2 linked regions of the Oryctolagus cuniculus genome follow. The protein of the gene in region 2 purifies or fractionates together with the protein of the main gene of each other region. This does not show direct contact. Links are inferred from orthologs where the notes say so. Each region holds a gene or a part of one and is shown on either strand. Other genes may lie near its edges.

Region 1 (4,412 bases), on a different chromosome or scaffold from region 2:
GAACTGAATTAGAGGACTCCCAGCTGGTGCTGGCTGCAGACTGATGGCTTGCTGGAGAAGAACTCGTACATTTGGTCACAGAAGCCCTCTGTGCTGACTGTGGTGTGAGAACAGAGGAAAACTGTTTGCACAGCAGGGCACACCCCAGGACGAATGAATGGGTTATGACCACAATCCCAGGTTCCCGAGGTCTGGATGAGTTACCTCTTAGAGAAGGATCACTACTGATATGAAGTGCTTGCTGCTCTTTCTCTAGACAGTATTTTACAGCAATGAATGTTTTGTGCAGGAAATGCTGTACCCTTGTGTTGCTATCATGTAGGACAGGGATGGCACCAGCTGACTACTGTTTCAAAAGCGAATGGCGGTTGTAGTCGTCCTCGGTGTCTTCAATCAGAGATGAGATGTCAAAGCAGCTGGGTGCTGCAGGCAGAGGAGTCACAAGCCACGGGGGCATCGTCGACAATATTTCAGGAGCAATTTAAGTACGTTACACTTTGGCTGGAAGAGTTTGAAGATTTGAGAAGTTTGTCCCTGCTAAGCTCGGCTTCAGCTATAATGGCCATAGAGGTTTTACAGGTGTGAAACACATTTTGCTTTCTAAAGATGGAAAGACTATTTGTGAACGGGCAAATGTAGGCAACACAAAAGCAGACTTTTTAGCTAAACATCTTACACTTTATAATACACTCACATTTATACACAATTTTCATGTTTACAAATACAAAAGGCAAAGAACCGCACACAAAGAATCAAAGCAACTGCATCGCCACCTGCACTTGATCGAGTTAACACTGTTGTCCCTGTTCCCCATTTTCTAACCCCAGAGGGAAATGGTAAAAGCCGTCCGTCCCACACGTGGACTCCACCGTTAGAAGTCAGAGACTGCGTGCAGTTCAGCACATGTCTGGGTTTCCACAGAGCTGAACTGAGACTCCATCGTGTTCCAGGCCAAGTCAGCCAGAAGAAAGTCGTCCATTGCCGTCTGAGTTTCATTGCTGGTGAAGAACAAGCTCCCCAGGGCTTCAAAACCAGAACTCATGGTCTGTGTCTCTGTGCTGTTCAGCTCAACCTTGCTCTCCAGGGCAGGTATGTTCTTCGAGGCACAGGTTCCCTCGGTCTGGGTCTCCGTGTCAGAGGAGTCAGTACTCATGGAGAAGCTGGAGTGTTTCAGAATGCTTCCCAGAGGCAGATGAGGGCTGCTGTCCAAGAAGAAGTTTAGGTCTGTCTGTGTCTGTGTGTCAAACATCTCAAGGCCTAGGAACTGAGAACTTGCCCTGCACCCGTAGGACGTGGCAGAGGTGTCGGCAAGGAAGAAGTCAGTTTGGGTCTCTATGTCCAGTGATTCCAAGACAGGTTCAGTGTTCATGGTGCTGAGTTCACTCTCTTCAGTTTGTGTCTGGATATTTGAGGCTGAAAAGAACTCTTCAATATCAAAATCTATTCCAGGGTTCTGGGTTGGGCCAGAGGGGAGCTGGGTGTCAGGCCCAGGATTCGTGTCAGGCAGAAGACTACGATTATCCAATGTCTGTCCAGGAAGATTACTCGACAAGATGTTTTCTAAGTCACTTAGTAAGTCCATGGTTTGGGTCTGATTATCTGTCATGTTCTGTGAAGGAAGCATACTGTTCTGAGTGCTGAAGTTTAACATAGGTGCCGATTTCTCAATATCTTGATTTAAAGTCTTAGGGTCATTCTGTGGCAGCAAACCATGAGTTACTGTCTCTATCATACTGTCTGTAGGGACACTGTATGATGACTGGACACTCTCAAAAATGCCCCCGCACATCCCAGTGTGGTCCATCTGCACGCAGTCCTCCGTGGGAGCTGGCATCCCACTGGTTTGAGTTTCTCTGGAGACCCCACCCGACTGGAAGCAAGGATCTAGAAACACATCAGTCTGGGCAGCTATCGACGAAGTTACCTTAGAGCTGGGCACGAACGTCTGCGTGTGAACGCTGATGGGGAGGGACACTTGAGCATCAAATGACAAGTCAGTCTGAGAACACGAGGACACAGCGCAGTCGGGGCCAGCCCACTGTGCAGAAGGCAGAACGCTCGGTGAGGCGTACGACAGGTCTGTCTGCACATTGGTTGAAGACAGGCTGTTCTTCTGACCTGTGTTCCCCAGTTCTTGTAAAACACTGGATGGGCCTTTACCCAAGTTCACTTGAACACCTGTACTAACTGGCTCAACAGCAACAGGACTTATGATTTTTGGGAGAGGGAGGCTCTCTTTAAGAGAGCAGGCCTCCGAATCTAGGCCGAGGATCAGGGTTCCTACTGACAAGGGCAGTAAGTGCACAGCCCCCGCAGCAGAGCCCTGATCTACACCTAACACCACAGGCTGGGCCGAAGAGTCGGCCGTAGGCACAAAGACAGGCACAGAAGAAAACTGCATCACAGGGAGTTTAACCACAGCCACTTTGGGCTTTGGTAACAGCAACTTCTGAGGATATCTTGGAGGTGCTGTTAGCGTCTGCTTTCTGGCGTTAGAGCCACAAGAGTCTTCCAGAGAGGCTCCCAGCTTTGTTTCTGAAGTTTCGAGTTCTTCAGGGGCTGGCCTGGGGGCTGGCTGGTTGCCTAGCGATTCAATGGTCTTATTGGACAACTTCTGGTTTTGTAAGCAGTTTTCCATTTTCCTTTTCTTACTAGGTGGATCCCTGAAAACAGTGACAGAGCAGGAGAAAAACAATTTGAAAATGCAGCTGTCTTTGACGATGACACTGCACCTTCACTTCTTCCCAACCCCCATCCCTCAACTATAGCAGAGGTCAGAGTCAACTCAGAGAAGGCAGGCTTCTTCTGCAATGTAGAAAACTGGGCCTAATTATGCTAGGCAGACGTTCAACAACACAGACAGGGGAGGAAGCAGCACACTTATTTTAAAAAAGTAAACTCTAAACATGAGAACTACAACTCAGGTCTTCAAGTGCAAGGAAGCTGAAGGATTACATATAATGTAAGTTCTATCATTTTGAAAACAGGTGGCTATTATATCAAATATAAACTGACCTTTAAAGTGAAATACAGTTTCATGAAAAAAAATTTATTTTTTCAGCAATTTGATATGCCTCTGATAGCTATTTTCAGATTGAAATTGGGACCCTCAAGGGGGGTTGAAAAGGAGAAAGGGGAACAACCAGGTCAAGGGCCCAGGCCGAGACACGGGTCCTTTCCCAGTACTGACGCTGTCTGCACAAATTCTCTTCCTAATCCTGCTTTCTCCCCACACCGCCAGCTCTCCAGGACACTGCACTGCACTCTTCCCAGAACTTGACTTAGTTCCACCATCGCGCTCCCCTTCACCTGTGTTCTGCAGGGATCTCGTGGCCAGTCCGGTAGATGTGGGACTGCAGTGCCGTTCTACTGGCGTAGGGACAGCCGCAGGTACACTGGAAGGTCTTCCCACAGTCCTCTGCGTGTCTTTTCAAGTCCCACTCGGTACCGTACGAATTGCTGCACTTACTGCATTTATGCTTCTTCTCAGCGTGCATCTTCATAAAGTGCTAGAAAAACAGAGAAGGGGCTGCGGTTACCACGTGCTGCTTCTCCTTACCGCCTCTGCTGGGTGCAGAGTGGGACGTCTGCTCTAGAAACAATCCGCACAGCCAGACGTGCAGCCTTTCATGTACAAGTAAGTGCTACAGGGCAGGAATCTGTCTGTGCCAGGAGACCCTGGGGCAGCATTTCAGAGCCAATTTCCTGCTGTCTCAATTCCCCTCTCCTAGGAGGCAGCTTCCAGATGTTCTCCGAGGCTGCACAGGTGCTTCCTGGGAGAACAGCGCCTGTGTGCCTGCATCTGTGACCTCTACAGGCTCACAGATCCACACAGGAGCACATTTTCTCATTCTTGGTTGAACTAGACCAAGTCTGAAGTCTCTTCCTCTCCAAACTCACTTCTGGACGTTTTCCCCCAGAATAAGCCTTGTTTCTCTCCACTGGCATCACACCCATACACACACCATGGTCAACAGCTGGGAGAGGCCTGGCCATCTGCTCTCCAAAGAGCGTTCTGCTCAGTTCTCTGGTTACATCTGCTCAGTAATTAGAATGCACACTAGGTTTGGATCACATTTCATCCTCAGAGAAGTATATTTAAGTAAAATACCTGTTTTACAAGGGAAAATTGAGAAAATGGTCTGTCGGGGCCTCTGGGGCATCCTTCAATTGGACAACAGTAGAATTTCGGTACAGTTTTCAAATCTTTTCTTATTGTTGGATTTACTATGCCATCCTGCAAAAGGAAAATCAAATAATTATTTTCAAAAAAACCAACAGAACAGGCTGGTAATAGAAATAAGGAATAACTGAAAACAGGCACGAGGGATCTTTTTAGGGTGATGAGAATGTGCTAAAATTCAGTTGTGATGATGATTATACACCTCAGTAAAGCTAAACAATGACTGACT
Region 2 (5,346 bases):
CACTCTTATTGCATTTATCTTTTTTTTTTCCTGTTAGCTTTGAATAGTCTGTTCCTTCTAAATTATTAACTTCTAGATGGCAACTGTGGTATAGTGGAAAGAGCGATGGAATTAAGAGTCAGAAGACATGGCTTTAAGTCTCAGCAGCACTTAGGTAAAGTGTGTGAGACCCAGGGCTATCTATACAGCGGAGATCATAGTATTTACCTTATAGTAGGACTTAAGTATTAAAAGACATAGGTGTATCAAGTCGCGCACAGTGAGCACTTGACAAATAGAAGCTTCCATTTGCTGTAACTACAATGTGCCTGACATTCATTACCTTACTTAGACCTCACCCTGACCTTGTATAGATCTGTTACTGTGGGACATTTATCAAAGGAGAAAAAAGTAGCTATGATAGCTTAAATAATCTAACCAGGACCACATCTTTAAGCAGCAGAAAAGAAGACTCAAATCCAGGTCTTTCTGGCTGGAAAACTATCAATGCCCATTGGTCTTGCTTCCCCAGGATTTGCACGGACTTCATTACTAATAAGTGGTGGCCTTGAAATCTCGTTTCAGTCTAAACTAATCTGGGCCAACCTTGCAGCTGGTGACCTACAAAAGTGTCCTATTATCCGTCTCAGGGGTACCTAGTTTATCCTGATTTATAAATACATCTTCATGTATTTTTGATCAAAAGACCTTAAGCAAAAAGTGCAGGTGCAAGGCATTAATACAGGAAAAGCGACATTCACCCTTCCACAAGAACTTTTTACACAACCCCTGCGGTTGCCAACATCCACTCGCACCGGAGAAGAGGCTTTATGTTCCTGGGCTTCCCTCTGAAAGAGGTTACTTGATTTTCTGAAGTCGTAGAAACCTTTGAGAAGAAAGCCACGAACTTGGTTTCCTGGAAAACCCCATAGATGCATTTGAGAATCTGCCACCAAGAGTTGCAGAACTCCAGGGTACAATAAGGTATACAAGAGTATCATCTCCCATTTACAAGGAATACAAAGAATCATGAATCACGTAACTCAGGCAACCAGTGGAAATTTCCACATCGTGCACGGGTGATGGCGGTGGGGGAAGGGGGGAGACCAGGCCGATCAAGGGAGTCGCTGCAAGTGGGCTCCGCGATCTACTCTCTATCCCCTTGGGAGAGGCCCTTAGCTAACGACCTTACCTCTCCACCGAAAGGCTGGGTCTCCCTCGCCCCTCGACTCAGTCCGCACTTCCACTTTAAATACAGCCGCGGGAGCGGGAGGAGCAATGACAACAGAAACCCCCTAAGGTCGCTGACACAGTGAGGGCTGGCCCCGGGGGACACCAGGAGCAGCACCCCCGCCTCTGCCTCCTTCCCCCTCCTCCTCGGGGACACCCGCTTCCCCTCACGCCCCGCCCCGGCGGGCTCGCCGCCTTCCCTAACACGTGCTCGCCGGAACACTCGCTTCCCCGAGCCATCCCACCCCCCCGCCCGGGGCTGGGCTCGGGGGCCGAACGGACCAATCGGCACGCGCCTTACAGCGCCGTGGCCCCACGACGTTGAGTCGCCCAATCGAAAGGGCCTTAGCGCCCGTTTCCCGGAGCCCCGCCCCTCGCAGCCGTGCCCCCGCCCGCCGGTCTCCTCCCTCCGCCTCCCCCCCCCACGGCCACCCCTCCCCCGCCGCTCGGGAGCGGAGCCTGCGAGACGGAGAAACTGGGGCAGAAGTGAAGATGGCGGCGGCGGCGGCGACGGCTTCTCGCCTGTGACGCGCGGTGCGGGCTTCTGTCCCTCCCCACCTCCCCTAATCCGGACCCCGTCCGCCGCCCGGTACCACAGCGTCCCCGCAGCCTGCCCCTCTCCGCCCGCCCCAGCCGCCCCTTCCCCCGACGCCCGGCTGCCGCTGGCGGCGGCGCGCCCCGGGGTCCCGGCCGCCGGCCTCGCACTCCCTGGCGCTGTCGCCGGGGGAGCGGGTGGCGCCTCGGTCCGCCCCGCCGGGCTGCCGGGCCGCGGACACACGCCCGGCAGGGAGGCGGCGGCGGCGGCGGCGGCCCCTGCGCCTCGGCTTCCCTCCATTTGGGGACTGGGAGGCGGCAGCGGCGGCGGCGGCTGTGGGTTTTGGGGAGGGGAAGGGGGTCCGGGGGGGGCGGGCGAGAGCAGGAGGGGGCCGTCCTCGGGAAGAGGACGAGAAGGAAGCGCCATGACGTCCATCCATTTCGTGGTTCACCCGCTGCCGGGCACCGAGGACCAGCTCAATGACAGGTAATAGGGACGGCGGGCCACGGGCGGGGGAGGGGCGCCTCCTCCCGCGCCCCTCCCCCACGGGCCGAGCCGGCGGCGCCCCTGTTTACGCGCCGGCCTCCTGGGGGTGTGTGTGTGTGTGTGTGTCGGGGGGGTCCTCGCTGCCCCCTCCCCTCCGCCAGGACCCTTCCGCCGTCAACTTCTCGACCCGGGGGGCTGGGGGCGCGCGCGGCGTGGACGGCGGAGCGCGCCGCAAGCCCCCTCCCCCTCCCCGCGAGGAGCGCGTGGAGCTCGGCGGGGCCGGGGGGCGCCGGTTCCTCACCCCCACTCCTCCGGGGCCGGGGGGCTGGGCTGGAATTGCCGCTGGGGCCCGGGCCCCGAGGAATCCATATTAGTCAAAGTTGAATTGAGACAGACAATGCGGATGGGGGATGGTGGAGGTGAAAAGAGAGGGAAGAGGAGACGCGGGGCCGGGGGCCCCCGGGTAGGCCGGCCGGGGCGGTGCGGACCCCGGGGAGCCGCGGGTTCCCGGCGGATCGCGGGCGGCGACGGGCGGAAGCGCCATGATTATTGTTATTATTATTAAATCTGAGCCCCTGCAGCGAGGTTCGCCCGCCCCGGGAGGGGCTGCGTGGGGGCGGGGGTGGGAAGTGGCTTGGATTCCCGTGCCTTTGAAATGGTGCTGGCAGCTCCGGCCCCCAGCCCCCGGGGTGCGCGCTTTGTTGTTTGCTTTTCCCCGAGTTGTAATCTGACAGCTGAAAACCGTGCGTGGCGGGTCGCAGGGAAACTCTGAGGTTCGCAGTTCGCAGCGCTGGGAATTTCTGGGCTGGGTTTGCTCCGGGCGGAGGAGGAGTGATTTTCTGTCTTTCATAAAGAGGCTGTTTGGGTTTAGACTCCTCTCCTGCGTCCTCCGGCGCTGCTGGCCGGTTTAGGATATTGAATTGCAGGGCCACACGCGCCGCGCGAGCCGAGATGAAGCAGGAAAAGTTCCCTCGCTGTGGCAGGAAGACGCTCCGGGGAGGCCGAGGGAGGCTTCCATTAAAGCGTGCCTTAGAGTCCGGGGTTCAGGCCTCGCGAGGGCCCAGAAGTGTGCAGGATCTCCGGCTCCCTCGGTAGGCCGGCTGGCCCCGCGATAGAAGTTAGACTCCGTTTTTGCTAAGTGACCGGGTGACTTACGGTGCCTGTCGCCCGGCTTGTCATGTGCTTCCCGGAGGGAGGGAGAGGCCCAGCTCGCTGGTTGAGATGTTGCCCTCGGCCTCCGGGTGCCCAGTCACCCCAGGTGGGGCACGAAGCCTCTCAGTCTCCAGCGGTCCTATTAGTTTGTGGCACTGGACTCGGGCTCGTCCACTCTTCGCCGTAGCCATATTGTGTGTCGTGTGTTTGTGAAACTTTCTGAAAATTTAACCACTGGGAGTTTGCATGTACTTCCTTCTCAACACTGGAACAGCCTCTATCAATTATTTAACATTTTGCTGTGATTCTTCCATTACAGATCTTTTGCAGACTCGGGGACTTTCTGTACATTTTAGAACCAGGCCAGTAGTGAAGGGTAGCTCTGCCGTCATTCATAGACCCAGTTGTTCCAGCTTGTCCCGTAACCTGCCTTCTAACATAGAAAATTGCACCGAGAGCAGGAGAGAAGTAGGGCATGTTTTCTGCGTTAGTCCTAACTTTGTTTACCAAGAGTCCTAACTTACTCAATTGACTGCGCAAATCAGAATCTATTTTGCAGTGTATGGGGCCCTTTGATTTGTTTTTGCACATTTCTTTGGCATCACATATTAACAATTAATGAATTAACAAGTAATGAATCCTTTTGAAGCTACTTTTCTTCTAGTATAAAGAAATAAGAAATAGTTAGCTTTACTTTTTATTCTTACAGAATCAGAATACAATATTAAGAATGAACATCTTGAGTTTTTTTTTTTTTTTTTCCAGTGAGCTAAAGGAGAAGACAAGTGGATTTGAGTTAGACTGTAACGCGTACAACAAGGTGGTAGATCCCTGAACAGATAGGTACTTTTGGGGATGTAGAGTTGTATCTGGTAGCTGCCAGTGGCCTGCATTGAGGACAGTTACGCACCCCGACTTTCAGCGAGAGAGCTGTTCTGTGCCTCCCCTTCAAAAGGAAAGGTCCTCTTGGCATTTCTGGTTTAAAATAATAAGCCACACATAGTGCATGAGATTTGTTTTTAGACCAGAGGCAGCAGTCCAGAATATGTTCATCTTCAGAAAAAAAATTTGCCATGTTTTAGTGAGTTTTGATACTAGAAAAGAATGTGCGACTCTAATTTTATTAATTTATTTGAAAACATTTATTTATTTGAAAAGCCGAGTTGCAGAAAGAACAACAGACAGGGAGATCTCCATCCGCCGGTTCACTCCCCAAATGACCCCAACAGCCGGGGCGGGGCCAGGCTGAAGCCAGGAGCTTCTTCTGGGTGCCCACGAGGATGCAGGGGCCCAACCACTTGAAGCATGTGCTGCTGCTTTCCCAGGGGCATGAACAGGGAGCTGGGTAGGAAGTTGGGCAGCTGGGGCTCACATGGGGCCTGTTGTGCCACAGTGCCGGCCATATTCCGTCATTTTAATATGAGAAATGTGAGCGTCACAAACGAAATGATAAATGATAGTTTCGAGTGAAAAGTTCTTTGCGCTAAAAGCAGTAAAAGCAAGCAATGTGGTACTGCAGATAAATTGTTCAGGAAAGATTTTAGGGCCTTAATCATCAATATCTTCTTCCCTAAATGAGTTTTCTTCCAATACCCAACCCCATTTTCTTCACTTTAATAGTAGTCCTGTATGTTAAAATGTGTGTTTTTTTTTTTTAATATTTATTTATGTGAAAGAGTTGCAGGGGGAGAGAGCTTTCATCGGTTGATTCATTCCCCAGATGATCTCAACAGCAAGGGCTGAGCCAGGCAGAAGCCAGGAGCCACAAGCTTCATCTAGGTCTCCCAGGCGGGTAGCAGGGGCCGAAAGGCTTGGCCATCCTCTGATGCTTTTTCTAGGCCATTAGCAGGGAACTGGTTCAGAAGTGGAGCAGCCAGTGCTCTGTGTGAGATGCTGGCATTGCAGATGGCTTTACCCGCTATGCCACAGTGCTGGCTCCTCAGACTTTGTAAATATGTGAAACA

Evidence for each region. Proteins that work in one complex are often made in the same cells at the same time.
Region 1: the proteins of UBR5 (region 2) and ATMIN purify together in Homo sapiens (affinity purification with western blotting; 3 studies listed by BioGRID). This does not show direct contact. The link is inferred for Oryctolagus cuniculus from reciprocal best matches to the Homo sapiens genes UBR5 and ATMIN.

What each region holds. Positions count from the first base shown.
Region 1 is NC_091449.1:63,246,981-63,251,392, reverse strand, and holds part of ATMIN (ATM interactor), read right to left. Parts: intron 4,238-4,412; coding exon 4,112-4,237; intron 3,510-4,111; coding exon 3,310-3,509; intron 2,664-3,309; coding exon 872-2,663; 3' UTR 1-871. UniProt on the Homo sapiens protein: Transcription factor. Plays a crucial role in cell survival and RAD51 foci formation in response to methylating DNA damage. Involved in regulating the activity of ATM in the absence of DNA damage. May play a role in stabilizing ATM.
Region 2 is NC_091437.1:127,732,868-127,738,213, reverse strand, and holds the start of UBR5 (E3 ubiquitin-protein ligase UBR5), read left to right. Parts: upstream 1-2,041; 5' UTR 2,042-2,168; coding exon 2,169-2,230; intron 2,231-5,346. UniProt on the Homo sapiens protein: E3 ubiquitin-protein ligase involved in different protein quality control pathways in the cytoplasm and nucleus. Mainly acts as a ubiquitin chain elongator that extends pre-ubiquitinated substrates.